Oryctolagus cuniculus: one gene and its partner. The protein of the gene in region 2 purifies or fractionates together with the protein of the main gene of each other region. This does not show direct contact. Links are inferred from orthologs where the notes say so. Each region holds a gene or a part of one and is shown on either strand. Other genes may lie near its edges.

Region 1 (4,251 bases), on a different chromosome or scaffold from region 2:
GGTGGACAATTCTGAACCAGCCCTTAAGGTTTACTTAACTTTTATTATTAAATAAATTATTTTCTAGTTTGTACACCTTGTAAGGAGGCAGGAAAAAAACAAAACAAAACAACAACCAGAAACACAACCTTCTGAGATATTAAGGCTGAGAATCCAGCGACTCTGAGGAAAGCACTTCATGTCCTCCTAGGACTTGTTACCCACCTGGACTAAGCTGCAATGCAATTTCTGCTTGGCACTAGAGAAAAACAGCTCCTTGATCTGCCATCACAGACCCTCTCCTCCCATCAGTATGATGTCACGTTAAAATAACTTTTTGCCTTACACAGAATCAGAAATCACCACCTGACACCTGGCCCCTCTGTTGTCACTGTCCAGTGCTAACCTTCTTAAATCTTCTGATCTCAAGAGGTATGAGCTTACTGTTAAATTCTTCAACCCTCTCCATCCCAACTAACTTCCTTGGAACTAGCCTCCACCATCCTGGAACACTGGTAAGACTCACTTGTCTCTTGTGGAAGTCTCACCCTGAATTCTCAGGTTCCACAACAGCAGGCCCTCGGGTGCTGGTCACCTCTTGCTAGGCAACTGACCCCCCCCCCCCCAATTTGAACCCCAGCAAAGCGGCCTCAGTCCTTTCTGAATGCTGGCTAGCATCGTCTGCAGCCTGTCCCAAAGCCTGACTGAAGGCTTGGGGAGGAAAGCAGAGCACACGACATCACGTTATCCACAATTTTCGGGTTCCACCAGCCACACTTCCTGGCAGGGCTTGCTAACGTTCTTCTCTCTCCTGCATGGCCAAATACAAAATACCAGGCTCTCTTCAGAAACCTAGAGCCATCCCTCGTGCTAGTTAACATCGTAAGACTCTGGAAATCTGCCTCCAAAGAAGATAACTTTCTGCATTACGGTAATTACAGAAATTCAGAAATCTACGGACCTAGGATAATAGTATTTTGGATTTTCTTTGCATAGCTGAAGTCCAATGTTTCCTATTTCAGAAAAAATGATGTCACCTGTCTGCCTGGCTTTGCGCCTGCTCACTTCTTGATCCCTTCCTCACATCATTACTCTTCCATATGGGCAACAATCCCCTACATCATTACTCTCTGCTTCAGTCTCAAACTCTGAAACTCGTTGGTGGAGGCTTAAAGTAGGTAACGCATGGAAACACTCAGCACAGTCTGGTATACACTGTGTGCTCCGTAAACGATAAAACACATTACCTCCATTCATATCCGGCTCAACACTGAGTATGTTATTTGTGAACATCCCCAAATAACAGTTCATTATTAGATCAATCTTTATGATTAGCAATTAAGTATTTGTTAACTTTTTTTTCTCTTCTGGGACTTACAGCTGAATAACAGGCACTCCATAAAGAAAATCCTGAATGAAGGACTCCACTGAGGATTCAGCAAGTATTTATTGTCTAAGAAAGGTTCAACGTATAAAACAGGATATTAAGAGATGTCTCCTTGTTCTTAAGGAATTTTCAGAGAAGTGTCTAAATAACTATGGTACAAGACAAAGTCTAGTCATTTGAGAAGTACAAAAAAACCACTAAGGAGTTAAAAAGGCAGAATGAAATCCTAGCAACGGTATAGAGTAGTGGTCTGGGGCTGCCTATCACAATTCGAGCGGGTCCACAGGTCACGAGGATTTTTCCGGGTAATTGTAAGACCTTATCTACCCCTTCCATTCATTGTCTCAGGACCGCATACTGGAGCTTCCAGTGTTTCCTACATGCATTACAGCAACGAACCGAAATGCAGAAGCCCCTAAAAGCAGCCAGTTCTTGGGATTAAGTCAGAGCTTTAAAGGGCTTTTTAAAATGTAAACGAATGCAAATTTTTGAATTAATTATTTTGTTTTAGACAAGTTCGTTTTTTTTTTTTACCCAGAAATATCATTTGCCTCAATGGTAAAAAGTTAAACATTTGGAAGACGTCTCGGTTTAAATTTCAGCTGAAATATCACTGTATACCATACCTATGTCACATATAACCCCCCGTAAAAGCTCTCTGGGCTCCTCCAAAGCGGTCCTGAGACCAAAACCTTCCAGCACGGCCGAGCGGGCCTTCCAGGCCGGATCGGGACCACAGGCTCTCGCCGGAGACCAGCAGCGCCCTCCGTAACCCGGTTCGGTGCAGGAAGACGGCGCGCTGGTCTTGCCCTGCTTCCTTCTCTCTCGCCCTCCCAGCCTGCGCGGATTCCTGCAGCCCCGTCCTGCCCGGAACCCTCTCCGCCCCTCCTCAGCGGCCCGGGGCCAGCTCTCCCCTCGCCACAGCCTCGGCGGCCGACCCCCACTTCTCCTCCATCGCCAGCAGCCGCGGGGTCCCCGCTGCCTCTCCCTTCCCTAGCCAGGGGTCCCCGCTCCAGCCCCCGACGTTCGCGGGGCTCTGCGGGGGCCGAGCGCTCCCTGACGCCCCCTCCTCTCCGCCTCGCGCCCGCCGCGCTCGCCCCGGGCTCACCTGAGCCGCAGGCGCCCCCGACTGCCCGCCACCTCGGCCAGCCTCCTCCAGCCCCGGCCCTCGGGCGCCCGGTCCAGGCTCTCGCTGAGCCTCCGCAGCAGCGGCTCCCGCAGGCGGTTGAGGGTCGCGCCGGCCAGAGGAGCCAACGGCGGCCCCGAGGGCGCGGCGAGAAGCGGCTGCGAGGCCGGGGGCGGCGGGGCCTGCAGCGGCTCCCCCCACAGCGACATGGCCCGCGCCGGCGACCCCGACTGCCGCAGCTCCCGCCGGCCACGTCGCGGCTCTGGGCTTCCGCGCACCTTCCGCTCGCCCCCTCGCTCGCCTCGGAGCCGCGGAGGCAGGGGGCGGAAGGACCGGCAGGGAGGAAGCTCCGCTCCCCGCCTGGCTGAGGCAAGTTTGCCCGGAGACCCGGGGCAGCCGCCGGCGCGCCAGCCGCACCGAGGGGCGGGGCCTCGGGGGCAGCCCGCCCAGTGCGCGTGCGCGCGGCCGCGCGCCTCCCCCGCCGCCTCGGAGCCGCGGCCGCGCGAGCTTCAAACCGCTGCTGAGCAGGAAGGGGCCGGTGGCTGCAGCTGGAGGAGGAAGCGGCGGAGGAACTGCGCGCCGGTGGCTCTGGCTCGGCGAGGAAGCCTGCGGCGTCGGGGCTTCCCGCGGCCGTGGGAGGAGGCTTGCCTCACGCAGCGCGGGGAGCGCTCGACCTCCGCGGCCCCTGACCGCGCCGCCGCCCTGCTCCGGGCAGCCTCTGGGGCCGCTTGCTTGGCTCAGTTGCGTGTGGCGTTGCGAAAGGGACGTAGTCCCGAGATCCCAGCCGGGGCTTCCATGTGTATTTTTTTTTAATATTTTTTATTTATTTATTTGACAGGTAGAGTTACAGAGAGAGGGAGAGAGAAACAGAGAGAAAGATCTTCCTTCTGTTGGTTCACTCCCCAAATGGCCGCTACGGCCGGCACACTGCGCTGATCCGAAGCCAGAAGCCAGGTGCTTCCTCCTGGTCTCCCATGCGGGTGCAGGGGCCAAGCACCTGGGCCATCCTCCACTGCCCTCCGTGTGTATTTAACACTTGAGCTGAGGCACGTTGAAGACCTCGCAGATGGTGTTTCTGGGTCAGGCTGCCATCCACAGGCTTCGTGATCAGAGCCGACCCTTCCGTGGTACCCTCCGGAGTAGACGAAGTCCATCCCCGGGTTCTTTTCCCCTGTCTTCGCAGCATCCAAAGACATCGTCCCATTGACACAAGGAAGTAACTTAAGAACCGTGGCCAGACAAGTGGCCCCTGGTGCAAGGGTTTCTGGGCCAGTGTCTCGTGCCACTAGCACCCCCACCCTCCATTTTTTCCTCAAAAGGGGGGGGGAGAGAGAGAGAAATGGCATGCCCAAATGCCCACAAGAGCCTGGGCAGGGCCTGGCTAAAGCCAGAGCTGGGAACTCAATCCACGGGTGGCATCTTTTTTTTTTTTCTTTTTTTAGTAATAGGCTAACTTGAGCCATCACCTGCTACCTTACAGGGTATACATTACCACAAAGCTGGAATTGGCAGCTGCAGCCGAAAAGTTAACCCAGGTACTGCACTGTGGGGCATGGCGAGGCTAAACACCCACCTGTCATTAGCGTTTTCATTACCCAAGGCCACAGAATTTTCTACAGCAATAATGTGGACACTCAAATTGTCACTACCATTAGCAAGGTTGGTGCTCCACACGTCACGTTCCTGCGCAGGCAGTAACAGTTCAGAGTTCAGAATGCAGTGTAATTGCTAAGAGCGTGACACCTGGATCCAAGAAAAC
Region 2 (3,559 bases):
GGCACCCCCTGGGAGGGGCGTGGCCGGGAGGCAGGGGCACCCCCTGGGAGGGGCATGGCCAGGAGGCAGGGGCACCCCCTGGGAGGGGCGTGGCCAGGAGGCAGGGGCACCCCCCTGGGAGGGGTGTGGCCGGGAGGCAGGGGCACCCCCAGGAGGGATGCTCTCTTCCCTCCCAGCAGCCCTGGGCTGCCCCTCTGACCAGGAGGAGCGCTCACTTCCTGGCTCCCCTGGGTGCGGGGCCGAGGGGAACGATGTGTCTCTGGTACCCAGCTCGAAGGCTGCATCAGAGGCGAGAGGCAGAGCGTGCCCTTGGACTCTTGCACAAAGGAGGAGGCTCACTGGACCATCCAGAGGTGCAGCGGCCCCGTCACCCTGCACTACAAGGTCAACCAGGAAGGTGAGGCCCGAGCCCTGCAGCACTGGCTCCTCACAGGGGCAGCCCTGACCCTGGACAGGTGACCTCGCCCTCCAGGTCTCTACCTGCTCCCCACTCCCCCAGGGTGTCCTGGGCTGTCTGGTGGGCCAGGTGGACACCACGCCCCCAGCCACAAGGGCAGCGTTGGAGGCGGCAGCCCAGGCCACGCTCCCGAGTGGGCAGGGGCACAGCCTTCCCTCGCTGTGTGTGTGAAGTGTGCTCCCTCCCTCTGGCTCCCAGCCCAGTTCAGGGTGTTCCAGGCAGCGTGGCTGCTGAGTCGCATCGTGGCCCCAGCAGGTTTTCATATCAAAGCCCCTCTCTCAGTTGGAACTCCGGCGGGCAGCAGGCCCTGAGCTCTGTTTTCGCCGTCTCAGGTCCAAGTCCCCCTCCTCCCCTCTGGTTTTCCCGCGTGGGTCTCTCTGCAGCTGCGTCTGACTTTGCAACACAGCCCCGTGAATGTTTCAGCAGAGCGCACAGCCGCTGCCCTGCGCCGCCCGCGTGCGCCCCTCCTGCACTGCCCCGCTGTGGCACCCTGGCCCCTGCCCCCGGGCCTGGCCCTCCCACCCTGCAGAAAGTCTGAGCGAGGCTCTGTGCCCCGGGCAGCGGGGCCCGGCATTGTGCAGCACAGCGCTGCCTTCAGGAGTTCCCAGGAAAGTTCTCTCTAGCGGTGGGGATCTCGGGTGAGCCCAGCTAGGGGGCTGGAGGGGGGTGGGTGCACCCGGCAAAGGCTGGACTCCCGAAGCACCAGCGGGAAGCTGGGAGCGTCCCCCTGCAGGCCGACGTGACCCTGGGTGTGTGGGTGAGCGGCTCGGCCCCCTCTGAGCCCATCTGCCCCTGTGTGATGCGGATGCCGCCTGTGTGAGGGACCTGTGACTGTGCGGTCACGGCCAGCTTGCTGCGTCCCGAGTATTCCGAGCACCTGTCTGACTTCCTTCCAAAGCATTTGCAAAAATCTGCTCAAAAGGACTGTGGTGTTGAAGTCAGGGAACACAGCATGGGCTGCGGTCCCGGTGTCCCACGGAAACCGTCCGGCGGCATCTACGCAGACTGCAGAGAGACGCCGCCCCACGGGGCGCAGACGCCCGATCACCCGGACACCCGGGAAAGCAGACTCCACAGCTCACAGGCCCTTAGCATGATGCTCCTCACCTGCGCACCCGCCCCCCCCAGCCTTCTCTGGTACCTGCTACAGCATAGGTGCCGGGAGTAACAACAGGAGGGAGACTACGCATTAGTACAGGTGCAGGCTTGCACGTTTTCCTTACTAAGATTTATTTATTTAAGAGTTACACGGAGGAGAGGTAAAGAGAGAGAGGTCTTCCATCCACTATTTCACTCCCCATATGGCCACGACAGCCAGAGCTGGGCCAATCTGAAGCCAGGAGCCTCCTCCAGGTCTCCCACGTGGGTGCAGGGGCCCAAGGATTTGGGCCATCTTCTGCTTTCCCAGGTCATAGCAGAGAGCTGGATCAGAAGTGGAGCAGCCGGGATTCGAACTGGTGCCCATATCTGGCGTCCATACGGGATACTTTACCCACTACGCCACAGCACCGGCCCCTTTCCTGACATTTTTAATCCTGGGTTGAACCTGTGAGTGTGAAGCCACGGCAGAGCTGGCTGTGTGTGGTTAGCTGTGCCCTCGGTGAGCAGCGAGTGCCTGCCCACTCGGGAGCAGGCAAAGAGCGCTCGCTGCAAGCTGTTCATAGCTATGCACCCGGGGCACGCAGTAGCCCAGAGGAGGATTGGGGGTGCCCACCAGCACACTGTGGCGTCATGCACAGCCCTCCTGGACAGGCCTGTCTCTGGGGTGGCACACAGCCCCCTGTGGCTATGGCAGCCTGGGTACAGGCCACCCTGGGGGAGGAGGCATTGACAGCAAGCACCCCGCCATGGCGCCCCGCCAGTGTACATCGTGAAAGTTCGCTGAGCCGAAGGCTGGGGAATCTATGCCGTTCACCGTATTCCGAGTTTAGCCTCCATGTGGACAAACAAAGCACGTGGGCTGGCCGTGCAGAAGGCAGGGAGGTGGGGCAGGAATGCCTGCGAGGGGCGTCGTGGCAACTCAGCTTGGAGCTTCCTGGCAGCCAGGGTGAAAAGGAGAGCTTGTCAATGGCATAGCCAGCCGTTCACCGGGAAGAAACCTTTCCACTGGCCATGAGCTCAGCAGTGGACAGTGCGGGCAGCTGTCGAGGGGGTGGTGAGCACATGTGCTTGCTTGGAGGTGCCCTCACGGCCAGGGGCCCACGCCTGTAGGGGTCTGGCTGGCGTTTGGAATGGCTCTTCCCTGCGCAGGGTACCGACGGCTGCTCAAGGACATGGAGGAGGGTCTGATCACATCCGGCGACTCCTTCTACATCCGCCTGAACCTGAACATCTCGAGCCAGCTGGACGCCTGCTCCATGTCCCTCAAGTGTGACGACATCGTGCACGTGCGCGACACCATGTACCAGGACAGGCACGAGTGGCTGTGTGCGCGCGTCGACCCGTTCACCGACCACGACCTGGACATGGGCACCATCCCCAGCTACAGCCGGTGAGGCCAGGCTGCCCGCGTCAGCACAGGGGCCCGCGCCTCTGCTGGCTGACAGTGAGGCCCCCGGGACGCAGCTCCGTCCCTTCACTGAGCTCTTCAGCCTAGCGCAGCGTGGCCCTCCACCGCACACCCTTCCCTGCCTGCTGGTCGCCTGTTCTCTGTAGTCCGTGTCTGTCTGTCACACCCGCACACGCACACGCACACGCACACACAGAGGAAGCGGAGCCTGGGCAGGGGGTAGGCACCGGCACAGGTGTCCCGAGGGCGTCTGTACACCAAAGCCGTGACACAGGCGAGACCAGGGTGAACACGGGCAGGCTGGACTCCCAGATGAGGCCGGCAGCACTGGGGGCAGACACAGGCAGCTGAGGGCCCTCCCGGCACGCGCCCAGCCCCTGCTCGGCCCCGGGGCCCCGTCATAGCCCCTCAGGCGCCTCCCCTCTTGCCCCTCAGGGCCCAGCAGCTCCTCCTGGTGAAGCTGCAGCGCCTGATGCACCGCGGGGCCCGGGAGGAGGCAGACGGCGGCCACCACACCCTCAGGACGCTCCGGGTAGGTCGGCTGCACGGCTGCACGGCTCTGCGACGGCCCTGTGTGAACTGGGGGAGAGGGG

Evidence for each region. The genes of interacting proteins can lie anywhere in the genome.
Region 1: the proteins of CARD11 (region 2) and MALT1 purify together in Homo sapiens (affinity purification with western blotting; 6 studies listed by BioGRID and IntAct, with this or other methods). This does not show direct contact. The link is inferred for Oryctolagus cuniculus from reciprocal best matches to the Homo sapiens genes CARD11 and MALT1.

Annotation. Positions count from the first base shown.
Region 1 is NC_091441.1:19,750,894-19,755,144, forward strand, and holds the start of MALT1 (mucosa-associated lymphoid tissue lymphoma translocation protein 1), read right to left. Parts: upstream 2,858-4,251; 5' UTR 2,702-2,857; coding exon 2,475-2,701; intron 1-2,474. UniProt on the Homo sapiens protein: Protease that enhances BCL10-induced activation: acts via formation of CBM complexes that channel adaptive and innate immune signaling downstream of CARD domain-containing proteins (CARD9, CARD11 and CARD14) to activate NF-kappa-B and MAP kinase p38 pathways which stimulate expression of genes encoding pro-inflammatory cytokines and chemokines.
Region 2 is NC_091450.1:37,591,566-37,595,124, reverse strand, and holds part of CARD11 (caspase recruitment domain-containing protein 11), read left to right. Parts: intron 1-270; coding exon 271-397; intron 398-2,707; coding exon 2,708-2,948; intron 2,949-3,401; coding exon 3,402-3,498; intron 3,499-3,559. UniProt on the Homo sapiens protein: Adapter protein that plays a key role in adaptive immune response by transducing the activation of NF-kappa-B downstream of T-cell receptor (TCR) and B-cell receptor (BCR) engagement.